Linked DNA regions of Caenorhabditis elegans. The protein of the gene in region 3 purifies or fractionates together with the protein of the main gene of each other region. This does not show direct contact. Each region holds a gene or a part of one and is shown on either strand. Other genes may lie near its edges.

The links.
Region 1: the proteins of cip-2A (region 3) and alkb-7 fractionate together in Caenorhabditis elegans (co-fractionation; one large-scale study listed by BioGRID). This does not show direct contact.
Region 2: the proteins of cip-2A (region 3) and B0222.5 fractionate together in Caenorhabditis elegans (co-fractionation; one large-scale study listed by BioGRID). This does not show direct contact.
Region 4: the proteins of cip-2A (region 3) and dhs-11 fractionate together in Caenorhabditis elegans (co-fractionation; one large-scale study listed by BioGRID). This does not show direct contact.

The regions. Positions count from the first base shown.
Region 1 is NC_003280.10:12,785,625-12,790,087, forward strand, and holds alkb-7 (Alpha-ketoglutarate-dependent dioxygenase AlkB-like domain-containing protein), read right to left. Parts: upstream 2,530-4,463; 5' UTR 2,517-2,529; coding exon 2,410-2,516; intron 2,154-2,409; coding exon 2,060-2,153; intron 1,589-2,059; coding exon 1,415-1,588; intron 1,136-1,414; coding exon 1,008-1,135; intron 939-1,007; coding exon 758-938; 3' UTR 698-757; downstream 1-697. Other genes in the region: cpt-1 (carnitine O-palmitoyltransferase), read right to left, coding at 2,972-3,064, 3,747-4,253.
Region 2 is NC_003283.11:9,151,391-9,156,848, forward strand, and holds B0222.5 (BPTI/Kunitz inhibitor domain-containing protein), read right to left. Parts: upstream 3,483-5,458; 5' UTR 3,480-3,482; coding exon 3,400-3,479; intron 3,160-3,399; coding exon 3,101-3,159; intron 3,057-3,100; coding exon 2,940-3,056; intron 2,882-2,939; coding exon 2,798-2,881; intron 2,756-2,797; coding exon 2,624-2,755; intron 2,579-2,623; coding exon 2,433-2,578; intron 2,384-2,432; coding exon 2,272-2,383; intron 2,050-2,271; coding exon 1,957-2,049; intron 1,670-1,956; coding exon 1,556-1,669; intron 1,513-1,555; coding exon 1,340-1,512; 3' UTR 931-1,339; downstream 1-930. Other genes in the region: B0222.15 (Activin_recp domain-containing protein), read right to left, coding at 4,225-4,365, 5,026-5,086, 5,145-5,205, 5,259-5,346.
Region 3 is NC_003280.10:270,812-275,877, reverse strand, and holds the start of cip-2A (CIP2A N-terminal domain-containing protein), read left to right. Parts: upstream 1-1,905; 5' UTR 1,906-1,984; coding exon 1,985-2,053; intron 2,054-2,269; coding exon 2,270-2,465; intron 2,466-2,705; coding exon 2,706-2,976; intron 2,977-3,349; coding exon 3,350-3,513; intron 3,514-4,048; coding exon 4,049-4,211; intron 4,212-4,372; coding exon 4,373-4,529; intron 4,530-5,066.
Region 4 is NC_003281.10:10,640,068-10,644,672, forward strand, and holds dhs-11 ((3R)-3-hydroxyacyl-CoA dehydrogenase), read right to left. Parts: upstream 2,799-4,605; 5' UTR 2,788-2,798; coding exon 2,757-2,787; intron 2,702-2,756; coding exon 2,547-2,701; intron 2,498-2,546; coding exon 2,411-2,497; intron 2,164-2,410; coding exon 1,918-2,163; intron 1,035-1,917; coding exon 819-1,034; 3' UTR 769-818; downstream 1-768. Other genes in the region: orc-1 (Origin recognition complex subunit 1), read left to right, coding at 3,067-3,999, 4,060-4,163.

The DNA.
Region 1 (4,463 bases), about 13 Mb from region 3:
GTTTATGTGGGTTTGGATGCGGAGGGAAAGTTGTTAATAAAACATGTTTTTTAATTGATTTGTTATATAAACACAAAATTCTGAGAATGCGTAGTGCACAACATATTTGACGCGCAAAATATCTCGTAGCGAAAACTACAGTAATTCTTTAAATGGCTACTGTAGCGCTTGTGTCGATTTACGAGCGATATTCCATTTTCACTAGTTTCTTTGCAATATTTTCTCATTTTTAAGCTTCTCTATCGATAAGATAGAACAACCCGTAAATCGACACAGGCGCTACAGTAGTCATTTAAAGAGTTACTGTAGTTTTCGCTACGAGATATTTTGCACGTCAAACATGTTGCGCAGTACGTATTCTTAGAATTTTGTGTTTCCGTAATATATTCGTACCTTCAAATACTGCTAATTTTCTGTGCTGGAGAAGTTATTATAACATTGTGTTATTAACCAGAAGCTAAATTTTGCGCCAAAATACGGTACCAGGTCTCGACGCGACAAATTCTGGTTTGATCGAAAAAGCTGTGCGCCTTTAAATAGTACTGTAGTTTGAAATTTCTCTGAAAATCGATAAAAACTATAGTACTCTTTAAAGGCGCGCCCCTTTTTGCATTTAACAAAAATCTGTCGTGTCGAGACCATGTTTGGCGCTAAAATCGCAATATTTCGCCTCTAGATAATAATGAAATACAAAAATATAATTAATTGTTTATTAATTGCAACAATTTATTCTAAGAACCACAGGTAATAAAAACAATTAAATTTCTTCAGGAATCGGTTTCAGCTTAATCTCCTCCTCAGCCGTCTGCCGATTCGCCACTTTCGGAAGATCTCTACAAATAATCGATATTCTTCGCTCCCTGGGCACTTGTTCTCCGTTCCACACACTTTCCTGCTCGCCGAGCACCTCATGTGTGAAATCGTATCGTCCGGGACCGCTGAAATTTTCGAATTTTTTAGATTTTTTAAAAATGTGGTGAGCAAGTTCGCTCTATGGCTAAACTCACCCTAATCGATATAAACTTCTTCTAGGCATCAGAAGATCCATAATCAGTTCATCCTTCTGATCCTTGTGCCGGAGCCGCATAATAGCGTCGGAGAGCAGGGAGACACCCGTGATGACGTCACCACAATACTGAAAATTTCGGATTTTTTTTGAATATTTTTGAGTTATAAGTTTTAAATGCGCTCTAATGATAATAATTGCCGAACTAGGCCATGTTGGCTCGACCATATCTGGGGTAGATTTACGGCGCGTTGCGTGTCGCGTCGCGGCTCGATTTTAGTTGTAAAACTAAATGTATTTGTCCGTGTGGAGTACACGACTTTCCCACGCGTTGTCCGGCGGGGGATTGTCAATAGAGCGCGAAAAATTCGATGAGGAAGCCCAGAACCCTGGTCAACTTGCACGCACTCGAATCGCGTCAATGTGTGGTTTGATGACACCGTCCTTGTGTAGATCCAAAATATGCACGTAGGTCAAATGTTCGGTGTTGGCGCCGAACGATTCACTCCGGATGCGGGAGATCACTTCGAGATTCTCGTCTCGCCATTTTCGTTGCTCACGTTCTCGGTATAGGTGGATGGCCTAGAAAATATGGGAGACTTTTAGGCCACGGGAAGCTTGCTGGTGGCCTAGAAATTCGAAATAGGTATTTCTAGGCCATGAATTCATCTGAAACCTAGAACACGATTTCTAGGCCACTTATTCTATACTGATGACCTATAAATCCAAAATTTCAATTTCTAGGCCATCGACAATTTACTGATGGCCTAGAATATTATTTCTAGGCCACCAATTCTATATTGATGACCTAGAAATCCAAAATTTTAATTTCTAGGTCATCGACAATATATTGATGGCCTAGAATAATATTTCTAAGCCACCAGTAATGTTTTATTGACTGAGAACTCTAAATTTCAAATTTTATGTCAAATTTTGGATTAAAACATATTTTATCCGAGATTTTCAATAAATTTTTTTTCACAAAACTATCATTTTTTGAATTTTGTAAATTTTAAATCTGTTTTCCTCATAAAAATGATCAAAAACTCCTACATCGTCCCAATGGCTCTTCTCGTACCGAAGACGCTTCATGTGTGGCTCAACGTCGACGAGAAGGCTTTTCTCTTCGGCTTCTGTGATGAAATCTCTGAAAATTTCGAAATTTTTAAGGTTGCAAGCGCGCTCCAATGCTAATAATCTTTTTTTAAACTTGCAAATACGCTCTACGGATAATTCCCCAGAGTTTCGCTGCTTCCAATTTAAATTCAAATTTTTTCAAGTTGCAATCGCGCTCCTTTGACGATTTCTCTGATTTCACCGATTTCACGTAAAATTTGAAAATTGTGGAGTATGCAAATCCGCTCTAATACCAATTTCGCTCAAAATTTCAAATTCTTGCCTACTTTTTAACATAACAGCAGGTTTTCATAGTTTCAGCCAAATCCTTCGGCCACAGTTCCAAATTATGAAATTTTATCAAATGTTGCAGAGTTCTCGGTGTAATTTTCATATTTTCTGTTCCACTGAAACATTTTTGTTGTAAATTTCCAATTTCTGAGAATATTCTAAAGCACGGCTTTCTACGGCTTTTAAACCATTTTCCTGTTGAACTATTTTCTTTAAAAATCACAATGATTTTATAGTCGAAAAGAAATAAAAAAACGCATTATGCTGAGGGCTTCGACATACAAAGTGGAAAGGGTTGGGGGAAATACATGGAAATTTCCTTTTTTTTTTCGGAAAAACAAATTTTTGTTAGTATTTACAATTACATTTTGTTACCAGTCAGACAAGTTTTTTGAGGGAAAAAAATCCAATAAAAATGAGCATTTTTCAGAAGGACGTATAATGTACACGAAGTGTGTGTGTGAAAAGGAGACAACAAAAGGGAAAAATTGCGGGTTAAAAATGGCCGGGAAAACCAAAAAAAAACATTTTTTAAAAAAATAAATTCAGACGGAGCACTTATTGCTTTTTCTTCGGCGCCTCAATCGCCTCGGCGAGCTTCTTCATGTCGTTGAGCGAGCGCTTGAGCTCTTCACGGAATTCACGGGAGCTCTGGAAGAAAATTGGATGAAATAGATAAATTTTGTGGTTTTTCGGCAAAAATTGCTCAAATTTTTTCGAATTTTGAAGATAAGTTTAAAAAAAAATTTTTTTCCACAATATGAATATTGTTTACAATAAGAAATCTGGTTTTTTCAAACGAAAAATCTTTTGTTCGTTCCAGAAAATTTGGGTTTTTTTCAAAAAATCTGGTTTTTTTTAATCTGGGGATTTTTTCCAGAAAATCTGAGTCTTTCCCAAAAATTGGTTTTTTTCCAACAAATCTGGGTTTTTTCAACAAAAAATCTCGGGTTTTTCCAAAAAATCTGCTTTTTTTAAACAAAAAATTCGGTTTTTTTCCAAAAAATCTGGGTTTTTTTCTGAAAAAAATCTGGCTTTTCCAAAAAAATCGGGTTTTTTTTAAACAAAAAATTGGTATTTTTTTCCAAAAAATCTGCTTTTTTTAAACAAAAAATTCGGTTTTTTTCCAAAAAATCTGGGTTTTTTTCTGAAAAAATTCTGGCTTTTCCAAAAAAATCGGGTTTTTTTTAAACAAAAAATTGGTATTTTTTTCCAAAAAATCTGGGTTTTTTTAGACAAAAAATAGATTTTTTTTTCCAGAAAATCTGGGTTTTTTTCCAAAAAATCGGGGGTTTTTCAGAGAAAAATACTGTAACTGTAAAACAAAAATTACCGTATTATCGGCAGATCTCTTGCTAGAGATATGGAAAGACAGAGTATCTTCCCCTGCAACAATATAAGAGACACCGTAACCCCGATCAGCCACCGGACCGAATCCACCTCCGGCAGTGATCAATCTCAAGCGAACTTCGTTGGAAAGTCCCTTGGCATCAGCTTCGCACTGATTCATCGGAGTCTGGGAAGTTGAGAGCAAGTATGTCGGTGGGAAGATATTATCGAAAAACGGGGATTCCTCTTCCAAATATCTCTTGATAACGTAGAGAGCGAAGAGATGACGATCGACTCCTTGTCCACACATCGCGTCTCGGTACAGCTCCTGATGCTTGTCGCATGCTTTACGGAGGAGTTGGAGGCGATCTTGAGGCGTCTTCGAGGCGTCGAGCATTGAACGAACGAAATCCGAGGATTGGACAGTGCAGGAACGGACAGTTTCGGTACGTCCTTCACGGAAGAGACGGGTCATTGAGGCTTCGTAGGTCAGCGAGAATTTATTTTGATTCTGCAAAAAAATTGAGTTATTTTACGGTGTTTTTTAAAGGTGGAGTAGCGTTAATGGGGATTTTGCTTCTAAAAATTCAAAAAAAAAATTTTTTTTGCTCTAAATGACCGAATATAACTGAAAAAAATTCAAAAAAAATTTCTGAATTTTTAATGATTTTTTTTTTCAATTTTTCAAAAATCAAAGAAACTATGAATGACGTCACTTTTG
Region 2 (5,458 bases), on a different chromosome or scaffold from region 3:
TTTATTTTCTTAAAAGATTGTATTGTTTAAAAATTTGGCAATCCGCCAAAATTTTGACTGGAAGTTTAAGACAACAAAATCTTTAACAAGATCCCCACTTGCACGTTTTTCTCAATTTGCATATAGGGCAATTGAACATTTTCGAATTTTAATTTCAAGCTCTTTTGATCAGCATGTACTTTGAATATCTCCATGTGTTCACTTCGGAAACGTACTTTGAACTGATCCGTCTTTCATGTTTTTAAAAGTCACGTTAATATGAACATTTGATCTGTTGAACTAATTTTCTGCAAACATACGGATAAACCTATATTTCTTGTTTTATTTAGAGAACTACACTGAACTAAGACATCAAAAAACAATCTTGATAAGTTTAAACGAGATCCTTCGTTTTCTGCTTTAAAATATTCAAAAAAAAGTTACCTGACTATGAGTTTTATTTTTGATTATTCTTCTTTCTACAATTTAACAAAACAATTTCTGAAAATACGTTTAACATTTTTTCAATGTAGTTACGCGGCTCATTTAATAACTTTTTCATCAGCGTCCATTTTTCAAATGAATTTTTTTCTAGAAAAAAAAATTACAGTTGTTGTGCCGTAATAATTTTTTCTTGAGCAAAGAATAGCCCAACAACTGTTTCAGTTGCATATTTCGAGCTAGAAAAGTCCACCGCAGTTTAGTTTTGAAGCCTTCGATTATCGTATTTTAGCGTTTTGTAGCATATTCCACATAAAGCACGAAACTAAACTGGAACATTTGTGAAATCATCAATCAAGTCATTTTTGGGTACACATCATGTCTGCGGAGACATTGAGCGAATTCAAATAGACCAAGTCATCATTCCGATTCATTTGTGAAAATTCGTTTTCTGCTAGAACTGTGATCACTCTATTTTTAAATTCTATTCGCATCAAATTTCAATCACAAATATACTTTGTTGCTTGCTGCATTTAACACATTTTTATGGGGTGAACAGGACACTATCAGAAATCAACAAGTATCTAGTATGGTCGAAGACTTTGTTTCGGTGCAGTTTTCTGAACATATTTCTTTTAGGAGGGAAAATGAATATAAAAGATATTGATATCACATAGGCATCAATAATCAATGCTATGAGAAGACACGTTTAAAGTAGGGGGCCGGCAATTTGTCTGGGTGGAAAACCAACACAGAAGAAAAGGACAGAAGAGATGAAAGGTCGTTTAATATACATTACATATCATTGTGAAAAACAAAAGAACTACAAATACTTTTTCTTATTTATTACAACCTGAATTAGAATGTGAATTGAAGGGCGGTTCGAATGGGCAAGAAAACAAACGTCAAAACACACATATTAACGCGGACAACAATATGCAAAAAACTCGTTATGTTCACAAGTATGACTGCTTGGACAGAATCTATCGGAACATGATTTTCCGAGCATTGCACTCGACCAATCGTCCTGTTTCGTTTGCAAAGCTTCTTTCTTGTTTTTGCATAATGGTTTGAATGCTGCTTGGTAGCGATCTGGAAACTTTGTGTTTTGGTTGTCGCTAATATGATTACTTACTTGTCAAGTTCTCCTCGCAGCAAATACCAAAGAATGCTCCCATAGAACAAATATATCCCTTTGGACAACCATCAGAGGTTAGTTTTGGGCCTGGAGTTGTAGTAGTCTTGAAGCCTGAAAAATATGAAGCAATATTTCAGTTAGTTTTTTTAATGTTCATTATTACTTTAATAAAGTTTTAAACTAACTAATACTCGTTTTTAAAACATTGTATTTCTAACGTTTAAACAGCTCAGATCCGAAAAACAGGATCCTTTAAATGAAATAAAAAATAACATTTTATAAACCGGAATTGTAAGTTTCGTTTTTCACCACAAAAATTTGTAGCTAATTTTCAAATATTATTTATGCAGTAGAAAGTTCGAAAGTTTTATTAAAAAACCATCAATCTCAAAACATACCTGGTGGACCATCTGGGCCTTCTGGGCAAGAATACCATTGTCCATTCGACTTTCTAGCTGGTTGTGATTGCATTGCACAACTGAAGTAGTCTTCTGAAATAAAACTGCATTCAATTATCGTATTTGATTTTTGAGTTAAAAATTGAATTTTTGAGTTAAAAATTGAATACGTCAATGAGGGGCTCAGAGTTTTCAAACTTTTGGGTCAAAAATGTATGAAACATTTTACAATTTTTGGTACCATAGGCCTACTTGTGATCATTTTCCTTGGTGAACGTCACTTATATTCATGAAAACAATACGTGGATAACTTACGCAAGACACAGTCAAAATAGCATTCACTACTTGTTCTATAGGAGTTCTGATTTCCACCACAGCCTTTGTGTTCGAATGGGAAACATTGGAAGGTTTCAACGTCAAACCAGTACTAAAAAAAATATTTGCCCGATTTTTTATTAGGTTTAAAATCAACTTACTCTTATCGAAGTTTTATTTTGATTGCATGTATGTCCAGCATTTCTGTTACTTGCACACCATGGTTTTCCAATCGGTTGATCATTTTTCGGTTTGGCAGGATCTGGTTTTTCAAAAGCGGGGAATGCTGACGAATCGATGGAGAAATCTGAAATTATCGAATTATTTTAAATTATTCATGATTTTGAACTACCAATTTGCATGCAATTCATCTTTGTTGTGTTACTCAATGGTTTTCGTGTCCCTTGTATTTCTCTTCCAGTATTTGTGTCCACGCAGTAGCATTGGTTCTTCTTACTGTCACATTGTACAGGCTCAAAATCACCTTAAATACTTATATTTTATCTTTAGCATTATTTTTTCATACCTTTTCCGACGTCACATTTTGGTACGAAACTATTTTCTGGAGGATCTCCGTCGGCAAACAGCTTTTGGAGGTAAACAAGGCAAGCTGAAACGATAAACGTCACTTTTGGGAAAACTTAGGAAATTGAATGGTCTCTACTTACTTCCACATTTTGGCGCGGTTTTCGGATTGTTGGTTCGTGTGTCGTATGCAACAAGTGCAGTGTGAGGAGTAACACAATAACATGATTCAGAGTTACATTGTACAGTTTCATAGTATCCTAAAATTATGAATAAATTAATATAATTTAAAGTTTAGAATCACCATTTTCATTGCATTTTAGTCCATCATCATTCAACGTGCATGGTCCAGTTTTTGGGTTTCTGTAATAAAATATTACATTTTTATAATAAATTTGAAATAAGCAAAGTAATGTTGAAAAATTAAAATTTCCACCAGTTGCTTCAACACTTTATTAATATAAAATTCTTAAACAAAACTGTTATTTTTTTAATAGTGGACACCGAACTGTTGAAAAATATTTTCACTTACTAGGGTTCTAATTATTTCAAAATTGGTTTTTCATAAATTGTGCCTAACAATTTTTGTTCCAAAGAACTAACCTGGCTCGTAATAATCTGTCTCCAAACAGAGCATTGACTTGGGTGAATCCAACAAGTAATATTATGCAGAAAGCTCGCATGCCGGAAATCAAAAAATTGCGTTCGAAGGAATGATTGAAACGAGGAAATGAATGAAGGTAAATAATAACTAGTTAGTGAAACAAACATTATTTGATTTTCGAGAACAAAAAATAGTAAGAGCTATGAGTTGATCATTGAGTGATCTATTGTATTTGGGAATTACTGGCTTTTGGTTATTTTCATCACTCGCCGATGAAATTTTATGTAAGTTATTTTTATGTACATAAATTCTGTGCATATGAAATAGGTGAATCAAAAAGTGTTCACAAATATTTGGAAACATTAACAAAAATATTTCAAATAAAGGAAAAATTCGAGAAAAAAATAATTTTCTTAGGATATGAAAGCCAAGTTATATTCTTTCTTCTCTCCGAAGATTCAAAAAATCAAGAAAGATTAAAAATTGAAACAGTATCTTTTTTCAAAAGAAAAAACTAAGCAGTATCAGTGCTAGTTGAGAACAAGAAAAGGAATCAATTGCTGAACGAATCTTTGTTCGACGAAAAACGAAAAAAAAGGTTTACTTCCTTTTTATCATATTATGTCAACTACTAGAATGCAATGATCAATCGATAAAACTGGTACATTCTCTTATTCTCTTTGGATTCGTTTTTACACCAATAAATTTGGTTTGACTAACAGAATTACCTTTAGTTGAAAAAACATTTATTCGGGAAAAGAAGTGAATCATCAGAAAATAACCCGTTTTTGTCGGAATATTTTTTTAAATAAATAAAGTTCAAACTAATAACTAGACATAAAATAAGAAAATAAAATGAAGAATAGTAGAGACACAGGCCAGAAAGTGATTGGAGAAGAGTTACACAGATCAGTATTACAGCAACAGACTTTACTTTGTTTCGAAGTGACCACGCATTCGTCTTTCTGAAAAAAAGAAAACATTGAGAAAAGATTAAAAGAATAGAAAAGTCTAGAAGTTTCTATGGAAATCACTGGAAGAAAACGTTACTCACGAGTTTTTAGAATAAGAAAACAACAAAACGTTCTAGAATGAATTTCTATCACTAAGAATCATAAATTATACTTTTGAGAAACAATACGGGAATCGAGCTTCAAGTATAACATATAGGAATGTATTTTTCTAATATTTTTTTCAAAGACCGGAACCATTGTTAAGTGTCAGACGATAGAAAAATACGCTGTTTTTAAATTTAAGTTTAAATAATCCTTATTGTGATTTTTATTCACTGTTGGTCATTTTTTGGCAAATTGACAATACATACATTTAGATAAAACCGGCATTGACCCCACTCATTTTCTACAAGCGAAAGTGTATTCCGTTATTTTTCCATAGTTACAGTATGTAGCATTGGGCTTTGTCCGCTACATATGGGTTTTGTCCGCTTCTAGTATTTGTTTTCTGTTAAAGTTGACATTGCTCTTTCAATGAGTATGGTTTTTATAATTAATTTCCAGAAAATCTACACCAGGGCTGCGCCACATTCAATCTTTTCGACAATTTTTTTTCTGATTTTCACTTTGCACATTTGTTCTTTCAATTTCAAACTCGTTTTGTTCGCTCACTTTGCAAAACGGCGTAAAGTCATCACATCCGTAAGTAGCTCCGCCAGTTGGCTCTGTCGTTCTGCAAAATGAAAATTCCAATAAACTTGCTGCCTTTTCTTTTTCTTCTTTCAACCCACTTTATGCAATATTCTGTCTGACAAAGACGTTGTTTGAACGGCCTTCCATCTCCCGAGAACCCTAAAGAATCACTCGTCACGCACACGAAATGCTCTTCTGCTCATTCAACGTACCTTTAAAACACTTCACAGTAGTATCTGCAGAAGGCGGCAAAATGAAAAAGAAAATGAAAAGACAGATAATGACAGGGTGCACGCTCATAATTGTTTCCGTTCACTTGGTTTAATACGGAGTTCAACTGAAATTTAACTTTTTAGGAGTGTCATTTCCACAGAGTTTGAGATGAAGAGTTGAATTTAAAAGGAATAAGTAA
Region 3 (5,066 bases):
GTCTGAGTCTCTCCTATATCCAGTACTATCTCTTGATGTATACGTAGCGCGATAATTGTTCCCCTTTTGAACTGAAGAAGATGATGGAGGCGTCCTTGAGTAATCCCCTTTATTCCTTCCCATTTAACTCAACTTCTCTGCCTCTTCCTATATTAAATCCTGAAATTGCATTCTTGACAGAAATAAAAAATAAGGGCACGTTGTCGTAATGGGGTGTCCGATAAAAATGTACAAACTTTGAGCTTTAATAACTTGGCTCATAGCTGGCGCTTTTGCATTCACTAAGTGCGAATGACTCAAAAATAGTTGCCCCACCATGGTCATTATTGAGAGGATTGGTTTTGGGAAGGGTAGAACACTGATTTGCGCAGGTTTCTGGAGACCGCGAAAATTGAATATTTTCTTTGTACTGAAGAGTTTTATGTTTTTCAGTCCCAAATCTTCAGTTTTTCTGGCATTTGGTTCCAATTTGTGCACAAGATAGAACTTCGAATTACCAATTTTTTGAAACTATTTGGAAAAAAATTGACCAACTTTCCAAAATGTAGGCCATCATTCAAATTTTGCAAAATTAAAAGAATGGATTAAACGTGAAAAACTTTTCTACCACTCTCTCTTTCTTTATTTTTGGGGATGAATTCGATAATTTTAATTTCTTATTTTAATAACGTGAGGAAGTTCAATTTTAAAGATTTTTCGAGATTTTTACTTTTTCTCTAATCCTATTGAGGACCGCACTTCTCGGACATTTTGGTCACTTTAAACCTCACTTCCAGCAGGGCAGGCTGGAGGCCTGCAATGCTATTGTTTTTCACTCAAACCCAAAAATCAGGGATGAAGACCTCCCTCTTACTCTTAGAAACTTTAGACCTTTTCTATCCCTACTCCCAGCAGAGCAGGCTGGAGGCCTTCTATGAGACGTATGTTTCCATAACTACGTCTGTTTTTGGAAAGGTCAGGTAATCCGGATTGAGGGCCGCAGGCCCGAATACACAAAAGTATTGAACAGCCATTAAGCCTATTCTGAGCCCAATAAACCCGAGTTGAGGGCCGCATGTCCGAATACACGAAGAAGTGTTGGAGATCCGTCAAGCCTATTTTTGCCCGAATACATGTAGAAACAGTGGGGAACCGTTAAGTGCGATTTGAAAAGTGGAAACTGTTATTTATAAAATTATCATTAAACTAAATTCTTGAGTTACTCTACGCCGAACCAAACTGCGAAGCCTAGCAAATCTCCGATTTGCTAGTCATCTCGTAGATATTCAAATTCGGTTTTGGAATTTTAGATAAATCCTAGACATACAGAAATTCTAAGATTTAGCTCTAGTTTGAACGCTACAGTGGAATTTAAATATTTTTACTTGTGTGATTTTATTCAGTTCGATGATATGAACTTTGGTATTCATGACTGAAAATCCAATAGAATGAAGCTTAGTTTTTCATAGTTTTGAGCAGTTTTCCCAGCAAAAAGGTTCCAAATCCTGATTTTCCCTAGTTTCCAATTTAGACAAGGATTACTGTAGCTACCGGGGCCACTAAAAATCATTTTTTGTGGCTTGTGTGCTTCTATCCAAATTGATGGTATGAATACCGGTATTCTCGGCTGAAACATGCAATAAATACCGTATTCCAACCAACAATTCGGTGCAATAGAGCACATTTGTCACCGAAAATGCGGAAGCTATGCCCAAATTTTTAGGAAAATCTCAAGATTTTTGCTATTTATAAGCGTAAATCCCTAGCAAAGATATCAATGTCCTTTTGGTATTTGCTCAAACCCTCCGAATCCGTTCTTGTTGATCCACTTATGTCTAGAACGCTTAATTAGCGCAGTTACTACTGTTCCCTTGTACTTTTAATAGACCTTACATTAGCGCGAAAAATCTGGTGTATAAGGTACTTTTTCAGCAATTTCCTCATACCTACTCACCTATTCTACTCAATTAATAACCTAGGAAGCGATTTTTTTTGATGGAAAACTATGGAAAGGAGCAGTTTTCGAGCGTCACAGAGATTTGCAAGAGATCCACCACCGCCGAATATCAATGAGGTATATAAGGGGGCAGTGAGCAAGTGCGCCCCACTGAGAAAATATGCGAAAACAATGCCAACGTGCTCTAATAAAATGGATTTGTAAGCAAGCGCGCGAGCAATAAAACTTTGAAAAATTCAAATTTCCGTTTACGAGGAAGCGCGCTCTGTGGAAAAATCCAATTTTTTGAATTTTCAGTGCTATGCAACCCTGCTCTAACGCTAGAATTTCCAGACTGACGCAATTTTCTCGTTGGCGACTACTTCCGCTGCCAGATATGTATCGGATAGCAGTGCTGACAACACAACTCGCCTCGATGAAGCGCTTAACGGAATGATCCGCTACGTGGCAGACATGGATCGAGCCACACGGTTATCGCTGAAAAATCAGCAATTGAAAGAGTTTTTGACGTATACCCCAGTGATTTTAAGTGAGTTTTTGGACCTGACCCAAAAATTATGGAAATTCTATTTTTAAAAAAATCGTTTTTCGAAAAATAAATTTTGTTTTTGACTCACCGCGGTGATCACCGGACCTCAATAATTCACGAAAATGTTCTAATTTTTCAGTTTTCAAAGCCGAAAATTCAATTTTTTTTTCAAATTTCTGTAAAAATCACTAATTTTCCCATTGCGTACCCAATACACCATATTTGACGCGCAATTTCCAGATGCCTCCACAACAAACATTGTAACACGCTCGAAATTCTACCGACTTCTCTTCTCAATTGCCCATCATAATATACCGATTCGTCGATTTATGGCCGGAGAGCTTCGACTTCTTGGAGCAGTATTTTCATGTCTAAAAGCATCACTTCGAGAACAATTAGGACCACAAAATATGATTGATATTCTCAGATTATTACAAGTTTTAAGTTATGAAAAGAATGTGCCATTGGAACATTGGGCAAACGAGCTTATATCGTTTTTAATGCAAGAAGTGTGAGTTTGAGGGCGAAAATTGCAAAAATTGATATATTTTGCATATTCTGCGACTGGTAGAAATTTTTATTTAAAAAATCTACAAAAAGCAAGTTTCTAACATTTTTTTTCGACAAATTTGCAATTTTCTGGTTACTGTAGTTCAGAAGCTAATTTCCAGCAAGGAAATCAACAAAAACCGAAATTCCGGTTACTGTGGCTTCAAAAGTACGCAAATTCACAGAAATTCAATTATAGAATTTTGTGGGATTTTTAAAAGATTTTTTCTTTAAATTATAGGAACAAAAATTTTACGATAATTTTAAAATTCGGGCTAAAATTTTTTTTGCTCGCAAATTAGATCAATTTTTCTAATTTTTCAAACATTTTTCAGAATACGAGAACCCGAACCAGAATGGATGCCATACTGTATTGCAATACTGTGCAATTTGGCTTCTGCATCGAAATCTGCGTGTAAACGAATAAAAATATCTACGTCATACAAGAAGTTTAGCAGGCAATTGATGAAATTACTACAGCACAACGCGAGGATAATCGGTAATTTTTGGAATAATCGAGTTTTCAGAATTTTTAGTGAAAACATGAAAATTTGAATTAATGACATAGTTGGAATTCCAATAAAATTTTTTTTTTGAAATTAGGACCACCGAAATTGATTTTTGGATTATTGATATTTAAGAATTTTTTGATTTACGGAATATTTTTAAAAATTAATTTTTTTTCATTTTTCAGTAGTTCCAAAAAACTGAAAAACAATTAGTTTTCGAAAAAGTCGAAAAAATAATTTTATTTTTAAAAAATTCGCAAAATATTGTATTTTTAGAAAAAAAATCGAAAAATTGAATTTTCAAAAAATTCGAAAAAAAATTATTCTAAAAAAAAAACCGAAAACTTGTTTTATTTTCATGAAATTCGCAAAAGAAAAAACATCGAAAAACTGTTTTATTTTTGAAGAATTCGAAAAAAAAAAATTTCAAAAAACAAAAAATTGTTTTATTTTTTAAAAACTCGGAAAAAATTGAAATTCAAAAAATAACAATTTTTAACAAATCGAAAAAAAAAGTATTTGCAGTCGTCTCAAGCCTGGTACTAATTGGATATTTGGACGAGAAAGTTCGAGATATGGTGTACTGTACTGAGAATGTCCATGATACATTTATGTGTACTTTTAATGTTCTTACTATTGGAGATGACGATTGTATGATGACACGACAGATTGCAGCTGATTTGTTGAGGTAATAAAATAATTTCCAGCGAAAAATAGTAGAAATTCAGTGAAAATTGGAGAAAAATAAGAAAATTTAGTTCATTTCTAAACTCTTTTGAAATTTACAATTTTAATGTAACGTATGAATTAAATAAATGTTGCTAAATTTCCTAAATTTCCTAATTTCAGACGCCTAGTTGTCTCGGAAAGCTCAACAACGCCCGGAGTGCCAACACTTGCTTCAACTGGCAAGAATGTGTTGAATTATGGATTTTTCATTGGAAGTATACAACAGACCGCACGTCTCCTGGTAACACTGGATCCAAGGACTGAGGAGAGCTCTAAGGTAGTGGAAAGCATGGGGTTTCAGAAAAAAAAAGTGACAAAAAACTAGAAGCGTTAATATGGGAAAATTAATTTCACGCTTAGAAGTTCAAGTAGATATGTTTAGAAAAATTTATTTTTCCAAAGTTTTGAGCAAAATTTTCAGCAAATTCTGAGTTTGCCAGAGTTTCCATTAAGCAAGGGTTACTGTAGCTTCGGAAGCCATTAAAAATGAATTTCTGTGGCTTGTGTGGCTATCCTAATTGATGGCTGGAATATCGGTATTCTCGGCTGAAACATGCAATAAATACCGTATTCCAACCAACACTTTGTGCAATAGAGCACATTTGTCACCGGAGATGCGGAAGCTATGCCCAAATTTTGAATTTTTCTGAGAAAATGATAAAAAATTGCAATTTTCACCGTTTTTTTCCAAAATTTTTAAGTTTTCGTTTAACAAAAAAACGCCGAAAATTGCTCTGAAAATGCCATATAACTCCCATAAAGATTACTGTAGCTTCCGTAGTCTCTAAAAATGAATTTCTGTGGCTTATGTGCT
Region 4 (4,605 bases), on a different chromosome or scaffold from region 3:
CAACATATTTGACGCGAAAAATATCTCGTAGCGAAAACTACAGTAATCCATTAAATGACTACTGTAGCGCTTGTGTTGATTTACACGATCTTGTTGTTTTCACATTTACGTCAGTTTTTTTCGTACGACACCCGTTGCAGTAGCCATTTAAAGATTACTGTAGTTTTCGCTACGAGATATTTTGCGCGTCAAATATAGTGTGCAATGCGTATTCTCAGAGTTTTGTGTTCCCATAATAATGAATCCTAAAATAGCTTAATTCCAAAAGTCAATCCTTAAAGTGCATTCCCAGTTGTACTCGATATGAATCGTATACTAGAAAATATTTTTTTTGTTCAATTCCAATATCTAAAAGTGCAACTAATAAAAAAACAGTTGCTTGTTTTTTGCCGACTTCCGTATCACCCGTCTGACTGGCACGGAGCAAAAGTTCCAAATGACTATAAATCTGGAAACGTATATGTGTGTGTGTGCTTGTGTTTGCACTTTCTTCTTCTCAGACGCAGATAGTTTCTAGAAGGACCACCCGGCACGGCGAGCACTCCCGGGTTTTTTATGGGCGACGAGAGAGTATTGTGGGAGATGAGAAGGTGCTCGCGGAACCATTACATTAAATGAGATTGAGCACACGGCGAGGAGCCAACAAAAAACACACACACACACATACAAACGCCCCGAGAGGACGCTTGAGACATTCTTCCTTGCAAAAGGGCAAAAACACAAATCGTGGTAATGACTATACGAATCAGAAACACAGAAAAAAACGAAGAAGCAATTTTATTTGAAAGCTAAAAAGAGGAGTCCAAATTCTTTAAATTCTACATTCCAAGTCCTCCAGTAACTTCCAACGTGGTTCCAGTGACATATGAAGACATATCCGATGCCAGGAACAACACGGCGTTCGCGATCTCCTCAGTCTCACCGAGTCTCCGTTGTGGAACCATCGAGACCATTGCATCAAGGACCTTCGGAGGCATAGCCTCTGTCATTGGTGTTCTGATGAAGCCGGGGAGCACAGCATTCACGCGGATGTTCTGGAAAATGTTGAATTTTAGATTATTTAGAATTTTATAATATTTTACTGGGCAACTGTCCGATTGGATCTTCGTTGGTGCCGAACCGATTTAAACACCAGAAACCGATCATTGTTTTGTTTCCCAGTTTATTTTTCAAAAAGTTTCCCATGAGGAATAGTGAATTGAACATCAAAATGTTATGTCCAGTATGATAATTCAATTAAAATTCTTCTATTTAAAACGTTAATGTCCTTCATAAAGTTCATACTGTATCATCCGCAATGAACTTCGTCAACCCCCTGTTGGTAAGGATTAAGACATCTTTTATATTACTCGCAATGATATTTTCAGCTCAATACCTTCATCATGGGAATGCTTGCAACTACCTCGGCAAGCCTCGGTGACGAGTCGTGTTTTTTTTTCAAATTCATGTTTGTAGAACCGTCCGATTTTTTGGACCCTATAGCCAAAAGCTTAAGAACCATCTACAAAAGGGACCTCAACAAGTACACGCGCTGCGAAAATCGACAATGACAGTCTTATTACGGGAAAACAATACTCTGAGAATGCGTATTGCGCAACATATTTGACGCGCAAAATATCTCGTAGCGAAAACTACAGAAATTCTTCAAATGACTACTGTAGCGCTTGTGTCGATTTACGAGCTCGATATTTGAAATGAATAATTAAAATAATTTAGGATCATGGAACATCGCTGAGCCCGTAAATCGACATCAGCGCTACAGTAGTCATTAGAAGAGTTGCTGTAGTTTCCGCTACGAGATATTTTGCTCGTCAAACATGTCGTCTTGTGCCCCAGATTTTTTTTTGCAAATTGAGAAAAACAATTAAAAAATGGGTGGTTAGAACAATCTGAAAATCAATTTTTAATTGATTTTACCTTTGTGGCAAGCTCCCTGGCTGCCGATTTCGTAAAACCAATCACTCCAGATTTAGTGGCAGCGTAGTTAGTTTGGCCGAAATTTCCGATTTTTCCGACGATCGACGACACGTTTACAATGGAGAGCGGAGATCCGGCGGCCACAGATTCACGAGCAATCATCTGAGACATCAGAAAAACACTATTCAAATTGACATTCATCACATCCTGCCACTGATTCTGGCTCATTTTCAACAGGGTAGCGTCCTAAAATGTAAAAAGGTCAATTTTGCAGTGTTCTAAGATATAAAAGAGACACGGTAATTTATTTGAAACGTCAGTTTAAAGGTGCACGCCATTTCTTTGGGTCTCGCCACGATCTCAGCCATATTTGATTTTGTATATTTATAAAAACTAACTTTTAATTATTTTCCTGGCGAGACCCATCTGGAAAAACTCGTGCGCCTTTAGGCAAGAGTCCCAGAAAACTACGAAATTCCGATATTCTATTAACCTTGGTGATGCCTGCACAATTCACGAGCACAGATGGCGATTCTCCGGAAGATTTTATGAATTCTTGTAGACGAGCCACGTGTTCTGGCTGAAAACAATTTTTAAACAATTCAATTCTTGAATTTTCTCTTTCTCACATCGCTGACATCAATCTCAAAGGCCGAATGCCCATTTCCAGGAAGATTGCCTGCTGTGGCTTCTGCTGCCGATTTTTTGAGGTCTGCAACGATGAGACGGGCTCCAGAAGCTGCGAATTTCTTGCAAATTGCTTGTCCGATTCCTGATCCACCGCCTGGGATTTTTTGTAGAGTTTGCTAGTTTTTTAAATTAAAATTAGTTAAAATTACCAGTGACAATTGCCAATTTCGATGAAAGCATTGTAGATTTACCTAAAAAATGCTGAGAAGAATTTATTTTTGAAAATTTTTATTAAAAATTAAAAAATCCAAAAAATTTAGAACGAGAGACTGTGTGAGACGAAGAGACGTAGACATTCCCGGGTGGTACGGTATGCAATGTGTGCAAACACCGTCGTGTACGCAGAGAGCGCCACTTTTGAATTCGAAAGCGTTCTCCTCGATTTCGCGCATTTTCATCATTATTCTCTGGTTTTTGTCGATTTTTATTATAAAAATATCGTTCCTTCAGCTTCTCACAATGAATACTCGCAAATCTGAAACGTCAAAGACTGTATCCGCCACTCCAGTCAAGCGGAGATCGACAAGAATCACTAATCTCCCGAAATCAGCTCCTAAAATCGTAAAGCGAAGCTCCGTTCGCCTCAGAGGAGCTCCACAATGCACATATAAATCGGATTCTTCTTCGTCCTCATCATCTTCAGATTCTGATGGAGAAGATGAGTACGCCGCGACAAAAGACGAGCTGAAAGCCGTAGATCACGATAATCAAATGGAAATCGATTTTTCCGATGAAATCGGCGAGAATTTCTCAGAAGAAGATAGCTGCAGTGATAAAGAAAATAGAAGAGTTACAAGAAGCAGGACTCCGACAAGGCTTGAAGAGACTCCATCGAAGAGGCTTGCTCGGGAATTAAGTAAAGCTTCAGTGTCGAAAGTTTCCACTTCAAAAACTCTATTCAAAGAGAGTAAATCACCTCGAAAAGTTGAGATTTCAAGGAAAACAAATAAAGCTCGAGTATTTCAAGAAGAAGATGATGACGATGAAGATGATTTCAGCGATGAAATTGACGAGAAATTCTATTCGAAAACTAACAAAAGAACACCAATCACAATAAAGATCCCTTCAAAAATGATAACCCAGAAAGTAACTCCACTAGTGATCAGCAAAACGCCAGGTGGAACACTGAGAACCCGTAGAAGGGCACGCCAGAACAGTGAAGAACTCGAAGATCTTGTGGATCCACTGGATTCCCGATCGGCTTCAACTCTGAAAGAGCTGGCGAGCAGGCTTCATCTCTCAAAGGTGCCCGAGAAGCTCCCATGCCGAGATATTGAGTCTCGAGAAATTGAGAAATTCATTCGAGAAGTTATTGATCCAAAACGTGGCGAGAGCTCTGCAATGTATATTAGTGGAGTTCCAGGCACAGGGAAGACAGCCACTGTTCGAGCGGTAAAACTTAATTTTTAAATTATTTTTCCAAATTTCTGGTTTTCAAATTCTATTTTTCAGGTCGTCAACTCGATGAAAAAGAGCAAAAAGTGTCAGAAATTCGTGTACGTCGAGGTCAATGCGATGATCTTCAAAAAAACTGTATTCGTAGAGATTTACAACGGGTAAGGACGTCTCGGAAAAGTTGAAAATCGAACAATTTCCATCTAACAACTGCAGAACTCATTGGAAAATGCTCAAAATTTTGCGCGGAATCCTCCGAAATTCGAATTTTTCGAAAATTGTTGGCTAATTTCTGAGTTTTTTCATAAGTTAACGGGGAATTTTTTGTTTTAAAGCTTGGAAATGGATCAATTTGAGCATTTTTAGACAGTTTTCAGCTTAATCGCAAGTTTTTAAAGAAAATATTATGCTGAAAACTGTCAAAAAACTGCTTAAAAAGACGTATTTTCCTTGCTTTAAAAAAATTTCGACTTAAAATTATAAAAAAACGCAAAAAAGTAACTTTAAAATGTCGATAAAAAAACGAATTTCAGTGGGTTCTGCTAGTTTTTACTTTATGAAAATGATCTAAAGTAGTGAATTTCGTGAAACCTTGAACATTTT